Notamacropus eugenii: one gene and its partners. The protein of the gene in region 1 interacts with the protein of each later gene in a pairwise test. Links are inferred from orthologs where the notes say so. Each region holds a gene or a part of one and is shown on either strand. Other genes may lie near its edges.

Region 1 (3,744 bases):
TGGTTGTCCGGACATCTGTGATGGTAGAACACAGGATGTTGATCCGGGGCCGGGATGCCTGTGGTAGAAGAGGCGGTAGGAGTCCCAATATTCAGGCTCAAAAACAGTCCTCTACTTCCTGGGAGGGGGCGGGGGAACCTGGCCTCCCCACTCTTCCCACTTCACCAAAGAGTTGTCAACACAAGCCCAATGGCTCCCTGCTCTACCTTGTAAGTAATGTGGAGGTGGCAGAAAGACTGCTGATATCACCAGCCTAGTCCTGGACACTCAACAAATGTCAAGAGTTAGCAAGATGGGTCCAAGTTTCAAAAAAAAAAAAAAAAAAGGAAAAGCCCATAGGCTTGCAACCTTCTGGGGTTCTATCTGCAAGGCTTCTACATCATCTCTCCCCAGTCACACTTCCCCTTCTCTCTCACCTTAGGTGGGATATAGAACTCCAGCCGACTTCCTCCTCCTTCCCCCTCACTCCGAAGCAGCAGGCGACACTTCTGCCACCTTGGTGGTCCCCCACCCCCAGATGAGGCTCCAGGTCCACCTCCCCCTCGACTTTCTCCACCAACAGCTGCCTCCTCTGTTCCCATGAAGCTCAGTAGTCCCTCCCTTTGCACTGTCCCTGCCCCATCCTTTAAGGGTCCCCCTCCCCTACTTAGTCTCAGCCTCTCAAAGCGGTGTGTCCATCTTTCCCCAGGGGATGTCCCACCACTAGTTGGCCCCACATTGGTGCTACCACCCCCACCAGAGGAGTTGGAATTGCTGTTTCCACCCAGGACAGGTGGCACAGAGGCAGAGGTCTCTAAGGGTCCCATTGGAGAGGGGGGATCACCAGCTCCCCGCCACTGCAAGATCCCTCGGACTGAGCCTCGTACTGATCGGCCCACAGAGCGGAGGGAGAAACGTTTCTTCAGCTTAGGTTTTGAGGAGGATGAAGAGACTGAAGAAGGGAGAGGGCCAGCCAGGTCTTCAGAGGATCGAGAAGGACCCAACACAGTCAGAGGCCCACTGTTCCTGCAGCTCTCCAGAGATGGAGTTTCCGTACCAGGACTCAGGGGGATCGGACCAGATGACAAAAGGGAACCTGAGGCCCGGGCCACCTCTGCCTCAAAGTGCTGCAAGAAGAGCTCAGCAAAACGTCGAGAGAAGGCTGCCTCAGCCCCAGGCTCTGCATATTGGGGATGGGAAGCCAAGTAGAGGCGGAAGCGTCGGGCAAAGTCCAGGGCTGCTGCTCGAGCGTGGGATTCACAGAACTCCCGCCAACTTGGGGGAGGAGGTGGTGGTGGTAGTGGTGGTGGTGGCAAAGGGGGAGGAGAAGGGGAAGCCCCATCCTCAGGGGAAGGGGCACCATTCATGATGAGCCAGATGAAATGGAGAATGGGGGACCCAGGGGAGGGAAGGAAGTGGGGGGGGAGGCCAGAAGACTCAGGGTCATCTGCAGCAACTGTGGAAGGGAAAAAGAGGCACATATATAGTAGTATTAGGATTACAGCTTATAGAGAACCATCTCTAGACCTTTCCCCAGGTACCAGAGATTCCCCAATTGTTCCAACCCCACTGAAAAGCCATCCACTTGTCCACACTACCTTCTGTTCACCTCGTCCCTCTCTGATTCAGAGAGATTCAAGAAAGTCCTTCAAAACATGTTAGCTTCCTTCCCATATTCCAGGTTCTTACACCTCTCAAGCACTGATAGGTTTTTCCAGATAGCTAACCTCCATCTTCCTCCTGTAATCTCAGCCCACATTCTTTGGCTTTGATCCCAGAAGAGTTAAAGGTAAGCTGGTCATCATCCTCCACAAAAAAACCCTTTAGAGATACAAAGCTTCCTTTCCAATCACCTCTCTCTCAGGAATAAATCCATCTAATATCTTGCTCCAAGGAGCCCTAACAGGTCAGCAATAGGTAGATGACTGCCACCTTGCTTCTCTCTCTAAGACTCGTTGGCATTTTAAGCATTGTGGTAGGAGGGCACTGCCTTGAAGGCATCTTTCCCACACACCTTCCCACCTGCCCTTCTATCAAACGCTCAGTAGCTTCTATCATAAAATGTGGAGTACTGCCTTACTCCTTGCCCTCAGTCACAAGAAGAAAAGGAACTATGAGAAGGCAGGGATGAACCGTTTTCTATCTTCTCTAAGAATGGAAGAAAGCAAAAGGAGCTAAAGGTTAGACAAGCTGTGAAAATGGGCACCCGGGCACCCAGGCCCTTGGCCCCCCAGCCCCCAGCCACTGGACTCTGGGAAAAACCAGGCTGGGAACCGGGAGCCCCGAGTCCCGCGTCTGTCCAGGCCGGACTGACAGCATCTCTGGGTGCCCAGGCTAGGAAGGGTTTTAAGACAAATGTCTGCCGGACCCACAGCGGCTCTCCCGCAGCGCGTTATTACTGCACACGCACACGCACGGTCCTCCGCCTGACTTTCACGCCAGCCTGCCAGGGAGGCACGCCTGCCGCCCCTAAGCCCAGCTTGTGGGTGACAACGGGGGCCTGACACCCCCAACGAGGGGGCTGCAGGCTCTGGCCAGGGTCCGCTAGGACGGGAAGCTCTGGGCGAGCCCAGGCTCAGCATCACCGCGATCCCACAGGGAGGCAGCAGGGCCCGGGGGGCCGGCCCCCCGCGGACCAGGCGGGGCGAGAGCGGCCTCCTCCCTCTCCTTCTGGGGGCCTTTTACAGCCACCCCCAGGAAGCGGCCTGGAAGGAGGGAGGCCTCCCGCCCCCACACTCAGCCCGCGCACGGCGCACCAACGCGGGGGGCCCTCACCCCAGGCGGGTCCCCCCAGACGCCGCAGCTCCTCGAGCCCGACCCCTGGCCCTGCGGCGGCGAGGCCCCAGCGCGCCTCCGGGGTGGGGGGCTCCGGGGAGCGCCCGGCCTTCCCTCCGCCCATGGCGGCCCGCTCCGGCGGCCTCCCGGGGGGCGCTGCCCTCGGGGCGCTGCCCCGGCCCCCGGCCTCCGAGCCCGGCCCCGCTCCGGGACCTTCGGCCTTCCCTCCAGTCCCTGGCCCGGGGAAGGGGGGAGGGTCCGAGTGGGGAGAGGAGAATGAGGAGGGGGGTTCCGGTTCCGGTCCCACCTGCATCTCGGTCCCCGCGGTTTGCTCCGGCGGCAGCAGCAGCGGCGGCTCCCGCTCCCCCCCCACCCCCAACCACCAGTGACCAGCGACCAGCCAGCTACTGCGCAGGCGCCGGGACCCCCTTTCCCATCAAGGAAAAAAAAAGACCATAGATAAGCCCGCGGAGAGAGAAAGGCACGTTCCCCGCCGACTTCCTCCTCCTGAGGCACGGGGATCATAGAGACCGTTCTCCCAGGGTGTAGGAATAGGGGCTCTTCATGCGGAGGAGGAGGAGGCGCTGGGAACACTCGGGCGTCTCCACCACTCGCCCCTCAGGGTGGAACATCCCCTGAGGCGTCCCGCCGAGATGGCTTAGTCTAGACTAGGACCTCCCCTGCCATCTTCCGTAAGGAGGACGGAGGTTGGCCGGCCGACCGACCATAGAGACGGGGCCTCGCGATAGAGTATCCCAAACAGAGGCAGGGGAGCGTGAAACCAGAGAGAGGACGGCGCCTCCTCCAGCCGGCTAGAGGTCACAGAGAGGTCAGGTGGCCTCCTAGAGCGCCGGATTCTCTCGTTCTAGGAAGAAGAGGACAGCGCCCCCTGGAGGAGGGATGTGGGAAGGCTGAGGTGACCTTGAGAAAGAATTCCCACCTCCCAGCTGGGGAGTCTAGAACCTGAGTTTATGTTCAATGGTTTTCAGT
Region 2 (3,744 bases), on another chromosome or scaffold:
ACCTTACTCAACTTGTTTTCTTCCTCTGGGCCTCAGTTTCCTAATCTGTAGAATGGGGATATTTGACTAGACTATCTTTAAGAGCCCTTCTGGATCTTACATTCTAGGTTCTATCACTGTGTGAGTCCTGGCTACAGTAAGTGCTTCCTTCCCTTCCCTCTCTTCCCCACCCTTGGCTAGAGATGCAGGATGGTAAATACGATGCTAAAGCAGAGGCTAGGTAGAAGATTCCATTTCCTTCTCTCCCCTTCATTCCTTCACCTTTATGGAGGGTTACCAAAAAATACTCAAGTATTTTCCAGCTAATTACTGCTGCTGGGCTTCCCTGCTTATCCCTTCAGTTATCTGAGTAACTTCCAGACAGTTACTACAGAATATAGGGCATCTTCTAGCATGTCAGGGTACTTTCCCCGTGTTTACAATGCCACACAATTCTAAAGGACATTCTCAGAAAACCCTCCCATATGCTAGGGAATTTCCTCCCCAACTACAAAATAAAACACTAAAAAATAGTCACTACAAAATATTCAAGTACATTCCAGTTAATCATGGCCGGATATTTTTCAACAATATATCTCATGTACTATGTGATGGACGAGTATACCGCCCACCCCTAGCAGCTGCCCCCAAAATGGAGTTTTTTCCAGTCCATTACTACTGCGTGTATTTGCTGCTTTTGCAGACACCTCAAGTACTCCTCCTTCCTTCCCTTCTCCATAGATTTCCTTCGGGGACTCAGTCTAGGCCTTACTTTCTGTCAGCTGCCTGGTTCCCTCTCCAGGCTGTGAATCTAGGTCCTGAGTATAAGGAGGTAATTGGGGGGAGGGAGGAAAAGAGAGAGAGAGAGATAAAGAGATAGAGAGAGAGAGAGAGATAGAGATAGATAGAGAGAGAGAGAGAGAGAGAGAGAGAGAGAGAGAGAGAGAGAGAGAGAGAGAGAGAGAGAGAGAGAGAGAGAGAAAGGAACCCCAAGGAGAGGGCTGGGAACATCCTTCTCCCATTGTAAGCACTTTTACTTCACTGCTGTCAAGAGAAGTCAGGGGATCACTAGTCATTCCCAAGGAAGGGGTGGGGACAAGGGCCCTCAGATTCTAAAATAGGTGGGGTGGAGAAGTGACCCTTTCCCTTCTATCCCCCAAGCACTGAGACGTATGAACTGTCTCCTACCAAAACAACAAGCTTTCCCCAGTTTTTTCTGGGTAGTGTCACTAGGGAAGAATAGGGCCATATACAAGCTGGCATTAGCTGGAGCTGCCCAGAGCATAAGAGCAGAGGAGCTGGGGAGGGGCTCAGGGAATCACTGGGGGACTGGGCTAGAAGGATACTGAAGGGGAAGATATGGAGAAAAGGGCATGGGACTGAGAGGGGCACTGAGAGAGGAGATCAGAGGGCTGGAGGGGGCACCAGGATAGAGGAGAAGTGGGTTGGGGGAACATCTGGAGAGAAAGGCAGGGGGCTAAAGGGAAGTAGGACAAGACAAATACTAGATGAGAAAGAGGCTAAAGGAAAGGAGAGGATCTGGGGGAGAGGGATGGTGACTGAGAGGACCCCAAGGAAAAGGGGCAGGGGCTGGGGTATCAGCTCTTAGAGCATCCTCTACTCCCTACTGAGTCCTGTCTGTGCCCAGCTTGGGAATCCCTAGAGTGAGGGGGTGGGGGTAGAATACTGTTTCTAGGCACAAGTTTAATTTAAAAAATTCTACTGTTGGAAAATTTCATTGCTCCCCACTCCAACCCTGGCTCCCAGAAGAAAGTCCCAAGATGTGGGAGAAAAAAGAAGTTACCCCTACAAGGTACCCCACTAGTCTGTGCCCACAGGAGTGCCCACAAGGCTTGAAGGGGCAGCACCCAGATCCCTGGGTTACAGGGAGCAGAAATTTCAGTCTCTCTCCCCATTCAGTACCAGGGACCACCTGCTGGCCACACCACCCTGCCAGGGAAGCTTCAAGTCCATGCCTCCCCCAGCCCCCCTGCTCAGCTTCAGCTCTCCAATGCCCATCCCTAATGCCCAGTGGGCACTCACAGCTCCGTCAGGTTCTCCAAGCTTGTCAGGTTCTCCAAGCTTGTCAGGAAGCCAAAGCTGGTGAGAGCTCCTGGCTTCGTGCAGAGCAGCCCTGAGGGGCCAAAGGGGCAGCAGGCATGGGGGCAGTGGGCAATGCCCGAAGGCACCAGAAGCAGCCAGGCTAGCAGGGCCCAGGGGCAACCCTGCCTGCCAAGCTGCCCGCTCCTCCCGGCTCTGAGCATCTCCCCCTCACTGCCTCGGCCAGCCTGACTGCACTCACCCAGCTGCTCCCAGCCCAACCTCCCCCCACCCACCCCCAACATGTGGACGGGGCTGCTTTAAAGGGACAGCCGTCTTAAAGGGGAGGAGCTGGCTCTGTCCCTCTCCCCCAATATCCCTCAGCCTCTGTTCCTCTCCATGAGTACTCCTCAGCCCTCTCCCCTCTCTTTATGCCCACCCCCCACTCCTGTCCGTTCTCTTGTGCCCCCTGCCCCCTTCACCAGTGTCTCTCAGGCTCCTACATCTCTCCTTCAATGCCCCCAGCCCCCTCCTCTTTCCCATCACCCCTCCCAGTCCATGCCCTTGTCCCCCTATAACCACTCAGCCCCCCACCTTTCCCATATTATGCTTTGGCCCCCTTCTCTCCCCTAACCCTTCTCCCTTGGTCTTGCCTCCTCCCTCAGTACCCCTTTTTTCCTCCCCACCCCTCAGTGACCCCAGACCCCACCCCTCTCCCTCAATATCCACCCTCCCCCCCACAGTATACCAATCCACTTCTGTTCTCTCCCCCAGTTTCCCTTTACCCCTTCCCCTCCTCTACATGCCCTCTTCCTCTAGGTTCCCCCCCTCCCAGCTCTTGCCTTTTCCCCTTATGTCCTCCCCTCCAGGGGTTATTATTCCTCCAGGGGTGCCTCCACCTACGTATTCCTGGGACATGTAAATAATTTTCTGTGGACTTAGCTCTTTTTGGTTAACAAGGCCAGGCAGGGAAGCTAGCTTGTTGCTTCCCCACCCAAGATGCAACTGCATTATTGCACCTCAACAGGGATTCCTGGGCTGGGAAAAGACAGAAACCCAATGCCTCTGTCATCATCCTAGGCGTCCTCTGTCTCAAATGACCCATGGATTTGGGGGTGAGTAGGGGTCGTGGATTCATCACTTATTGAGCACGGGACAAAATTATCTCGGAGATCTTTCGCAGAAAGGAAAAGAGAGCACTGGAGGTAAGGGGCATTAAGGTGAGAATGTAGGAAAACGAGAGAGGAGATACCAAAGTGGAAGAGGCAGAGGTAGGGAAGAGGTCTCCCCAAAACCATCAGCAAATGTCAGATCTGAGCGGCGCCTACATCTGGGAGGGGCACGCGCCTTGCTCTCCTTAGAGTGGCCACGGGGTGGCGCCAGAGGCGCGTGTGTTTATGCTTTTAGGCTAGGGTAAAGATATGAACTTGATCTGTGATTTTATTTGTATTAAGAACTCCCGGATGAAGAAACTCCCTCTGCAAAGGCACATCAGCAACCCCTTTGCGATGTATATATAGTTTTAGACGAATAACTTGGAAGTCCTCAGAAGTTAACTGACTTGGTCAGGGTCACACAAGCAGCAGTATAGGAAGGAGGTGAGACTTGAATCCAGGTTTTCCCGATTTGGAGGTTGCCTCTCCATATATTTCTATGACGTCAGTCGGTCAAAAGGCATTTATTAAGCTATGCGAGACAGTGTGCTAGATAAAGACTGAGGATGCA
Region 3 (3,744 bases), on another chromosome or scaffold:
CACCTTATGGCTCTAAAACTTTCACAGCCATTATATGACAAATATATTTTCCTGTCCTTGGATAATGCTGTTGGTATACATTACTTCTTAAGCTGAGGACAATGAACTCATGTTCTCCCTTCCTAACAGAACTCCCTTCCTGGAGAGCTGCTAAAACAAGCGACAGAATCAATGAGTTATTTTGCCTCACATGTATTAAGTACCTTTGTTTTCAGAGCCTGGTGTTACGCACTGAAGGAGATACAAACTGGGTAAGATACCATGTGCTTCCTCATGAAGCTTATGGTTTAGATAGCTATAACAAATATTACATATGGATTACAAAGGTTTGAGACAAATATTTATGTGAGGAGAAGATATTACCAACTAGGTAATGGGGAAATGAAGGAAGACTTCCTGGAGGAGATGTCTTTATGAGTTGGACTTTGAAGGATAGGTAGGAATTCAGCAGCAGAAGGGCAAGAAGGACGAAGGGGTCATTCCCTCTGAACTCTTATAGGTCTTGTTCTGAGATTCAGTCATAGAACACAGAACATAGAATGTGAGAATTGGATGTGATCTGAGAACACAGATTGTCAAACCTGTGAGGGACCTTAGATCATAGAATGTCAAGAAGTGTGTATGTGTGTGTGTGTTGGAATACAGAATGTCACAGTTGGGAGGGACCTTAGAACATAGAATGTCAAGAACTGGGAGGATTGTTGGAACGCATAACTGGAAAGGATCTTAAAATATCGGCTGAGCTAGAAGAAAACTTAGAACATAGACTAAAGAAATGTCCTTGGGAAACCCAGAATGTCCGAGAGGGAATGAACCTTAGAACATAGAATGTCGAGCTGGAAGGAACTCTAGAACACAGAACATCAAAGCTGGCAGGGTCCTTAGAACACAGATCTTGAGGGGCCCTTAGGTTATCGGATGTCATGAACCTTTTTCCTTTCACCCCACCTTCTCCGCACCACCTCCGGGGGCTTCCTTCTCTCCCCCTCCTCTCCTGCTCCCCCCCTCTCCTCCTCTCTCTTCTCCTCTCCCCCACCCCCGCCTTTGGCTCCGCCCCACCCCGCCCCTTTCATCTCCCTCTTCCCCTCCCGCCCCCGCGCCTCTGGGGCCCCCAGCGCCCTCCCTTCCAGCCTTCTCCTGTTCCGCGCCGTCTTTTCCAGCGTCCCGGCCAGGGCCAGCCCAGCCCAGCTGACGGGGCCGCTGTGTTTACTGGCCAGACTCGAGCGGGGAGCGAGGAGCAAGGAGCGGGGAACGCTGGTGCCTGCGGGGAAGGGGCCGCCGACGAGAAGGAGGGGACAGGGCCAGAGCAGGGGCCTGGGGGGGCCCAGCACGCGGCCGAGGCCCGCTCTCCAGGGGGCAGTGCCCAATCCGCAGGCGCGCCGTCCAGCCCCGGGCAGCGGGGGGGTTACGGGCCTGGGCCGGGGCCGCGATCTCCGGGGAGGGGGCGGGCACGCGGGCGGGGCGCGGGGCTGCTGCTGGACGCGGCCCAGCCAGCGCGGAGGAGGGGGAGGAGGCGGAGGGGAGGAGTGAGGTGGCCCCGGCCCACGCCCCTCCCGGGCCCCTCTCGTGCCCCCGGGCGGGCAGCCCCCCACCCACATTTCCTGCGCGGGGCGTTTAAAGGACCGTGGGTACGGCCCGCCTGGGCCCGCGCTGCCCTTCCCTGCCGTGCTCTGCCCCGCTCTGCCCTGCCCGCCCGGGCCGGGATGGAGCCCGCCGCCCCCTGCTCCCGCCTGCCCCGGGCTCTCTGACCCACCGCTCGCCCCCCGATCTGCCGCCGCCCCCCGACTGTCAGTCGGTCTGTGTCCCCAGGGCCATGGGGGCCGTGCGGCCGCTGACTGTCGGGCTGCTCCCGCTGCTGCTGCAGCTGCTGCTGATCACTTCGTGTGGCTTGATCTCCGGAGAAGGTGAGTATCTTCTACTACTAGGGTCTCTATCCCTGAGCCCTGGGTCCGAGGGGCCCCTCAGAGCAGCCCTACACGCTGGGGCTGCCACGGCCCGGTCGAAGGGAGCTGACCTTGGCCCCTGACCTCCCAGAGTTCAGTCACAGGTCTCTCCGGGGGGCCCCAGTATGAGGATCTGTCCCAGCCCTAGGATTCAGGCAGGTCCAACGTCTCCCAGGTTCTGTAGCTCAGCTTGGGCCACCTTGGCTTCCTTCCTTTCTGTCCTCTGTGAGCCCCCACTGGGGGTCCCCTCAACTCTGACCCCCTGATTCTCCCTATCCCCGACCCTTCCTGGGTGTTCTGGAGCAAGATCTAATCATGGCCTCCTTCCACATCTCGGTACCGTCACCTCCGACATCACCACCGCTTTGACCTGGTAGAGATGGTGGGGTACTAATCAGTGATCGCTGAAGAATACTTTCCCCCCTTCTCAATCTCAGGAATGTCTGCCCCAGGAGTAGGTCCTGAGGCTCTTCAGGAAGGTCTGGCATTACATTTAAAAGCCAGGATTTTGCCTTTCTCCTCTGGGAATCTCTGAGCCAATGGTCCTGAGAAAAGCAGCCTGATGAGCCCTTCCCACCTCCCCACCCCCCAGCCCCATCCCTGTGTGTTCTTTTCAGGGTTTTGTCTGTGGTTGTTCCCAACTCCAAACTGCTGTGGGAGGGGCGGAGGCCCAGCCTGGGTCAGTTATAGGGGAGGAGATGGTTTGGAATGAAGTGAGGGGGTTGGCCAGGAGGATCTCTTAAGGTCCCAGTCTGGCTCTGATATTGTAGGAGCCACATGGAACCACAGACTTGCAGAACCAAAGGACTTTAGAGATCCTTTTATTGTTCAGAAAGAGAAACTGAGACTCAGAGAGCCAGAGACCTGCCAAGGGTGACACACAGAGCTCCTTCAGAGAGTAGCTGTCTGACTTGCACTCCAGCCTTCCTTCACTGTCTGCTGAGACCTGCTAATTCTTAACCCTAACAAAGGAACTTTAGCTTTGTTCCTTCTCTTGTTTAAAGTTTCTTGCCCTGGCTGATGATCAGGGTCTTCCCTTGTAACATTCCATCCCCTGGTTTTCTGATAGATGTAGAACAGTGCCTCAGGAAAGGGCTTCCAGCAGATGTCTGGGCAGGAACTCAGGAGAGATGGAAAGGCTTGGTTAGGACAGTACTTTGGCTCTTGGGCCTGTTTGCTCTATCTTGGGGTGGGCGGTGGGGCATCTGACTCTCAGGGCCTTTACAGGTGCTTTCACATCCTTAGTTCCTGGCTTGGAGAGTTTGGGGCTTCTCAATGAAGTTGTTAACCCAGGGGAGCAGCAAGCAGCAAGAAAGACAGTGAATGAGGAGCAACTGCTCCCCAAGATTCACAGGGGCCCTCTGAGGAATTTCTAAGGCCCTCCTGACTGAGCTGGGATTTATTACCCTTTCATTATTTTTATTATTATTGAGAATCATCAGAGCTCAGATTATCTGAATGTGGACGGGGAGAGATCTGTTGTCTCTTTTTCAGGCACCATTGATAGCACATTCTTATCCTTAAATCTGGCAGAAATAATGTAAGGGGGAAGAGGACCTTCTGGGTTTCAGAACAATGAGGGATGTCATTTTTCTTCACCATTCCACCTTGCACATGTTCTGGGGCTTGGAAATTGTCAAGGATCAAGACACCATCCTTTGTTTCACAGAGCTTCGAGTCAGAAGCCTTAGGTTCAGATTTCATCTCTGATGCTTACTACTTGCAAGTCTCAACCTCCATGGGCCTCATTTTCCCCATCTGTAAAATGAAGGGGTTGGATTAAATGGCCTCTGGGATCTCT

Evidence for each region.
Region 2: the proteins of SH2B1 (region 1) and NTRK1 interact in a two-hybrid assay, tested with the Homo sapiens proteins (2 studies listed by BioGRID). The link is inferred for Notamacropus eugenii from reciprocal best matches to the Homo sapiens genes SH2B1 and NTRK1.
Region 3: the proteins of SH2B1 (region 1) and INSR interact in binary tests that used the Homo sapiens proteins (3 or more experiments, as listed by UniProt). The link is inferred for Notamacropus eugenii from reciprocal best matches to the Homo sapiens genes SH2B1 and INSR.

The regions. Positions count from the first base shown.
Region 1 is NC_092872.1:46,581,923-46,585,666, forward strand, and holds the start of SH2B1 (SH2B adapter protein 1), read right to left. Parts: upstream 2,763-3,744; 5' UTR 1,461-2,762; coding exon 417-1,460; exon of another isoform or gene 207-416; intron 59-206; coding exon 1-58. UniProt on the Homo sapiens protein: Adapter protein for several members of the tyrosine kinase receptor family.
Region 2 is NC_092873.1:381,127,279-381,131,022, reverse strand, and holds the start of NTRK1 (high affinity nerve growth factor receptor), read right to left. Parts: upstream 2,267-3,744; 5' UTR 2,244-2,266; coding exon 2,023-2,243; intron 1-2,022. UniProt on the Homo sapiens protein: Receptor tyrosine kinase involved in the development and the maturation of the central and peripheral nervous systems through regulation of proliferation, differentiation and survival of sympathetic and nervous neurons.
Region 3 is NC_092875.1:51,122,277-51,126,020, reverse strand, and holds the start of INSR (insulin receptor), read left to right. Parts: upstream 1-1,520; 5' UTR 1,521-1,813; coding exon 1,814-1,904; intron 1,905-3,744. UniProt on the Homo sapiens protein: Receptor tyrosine kinase which mediates the pleiotropic actions of insulin.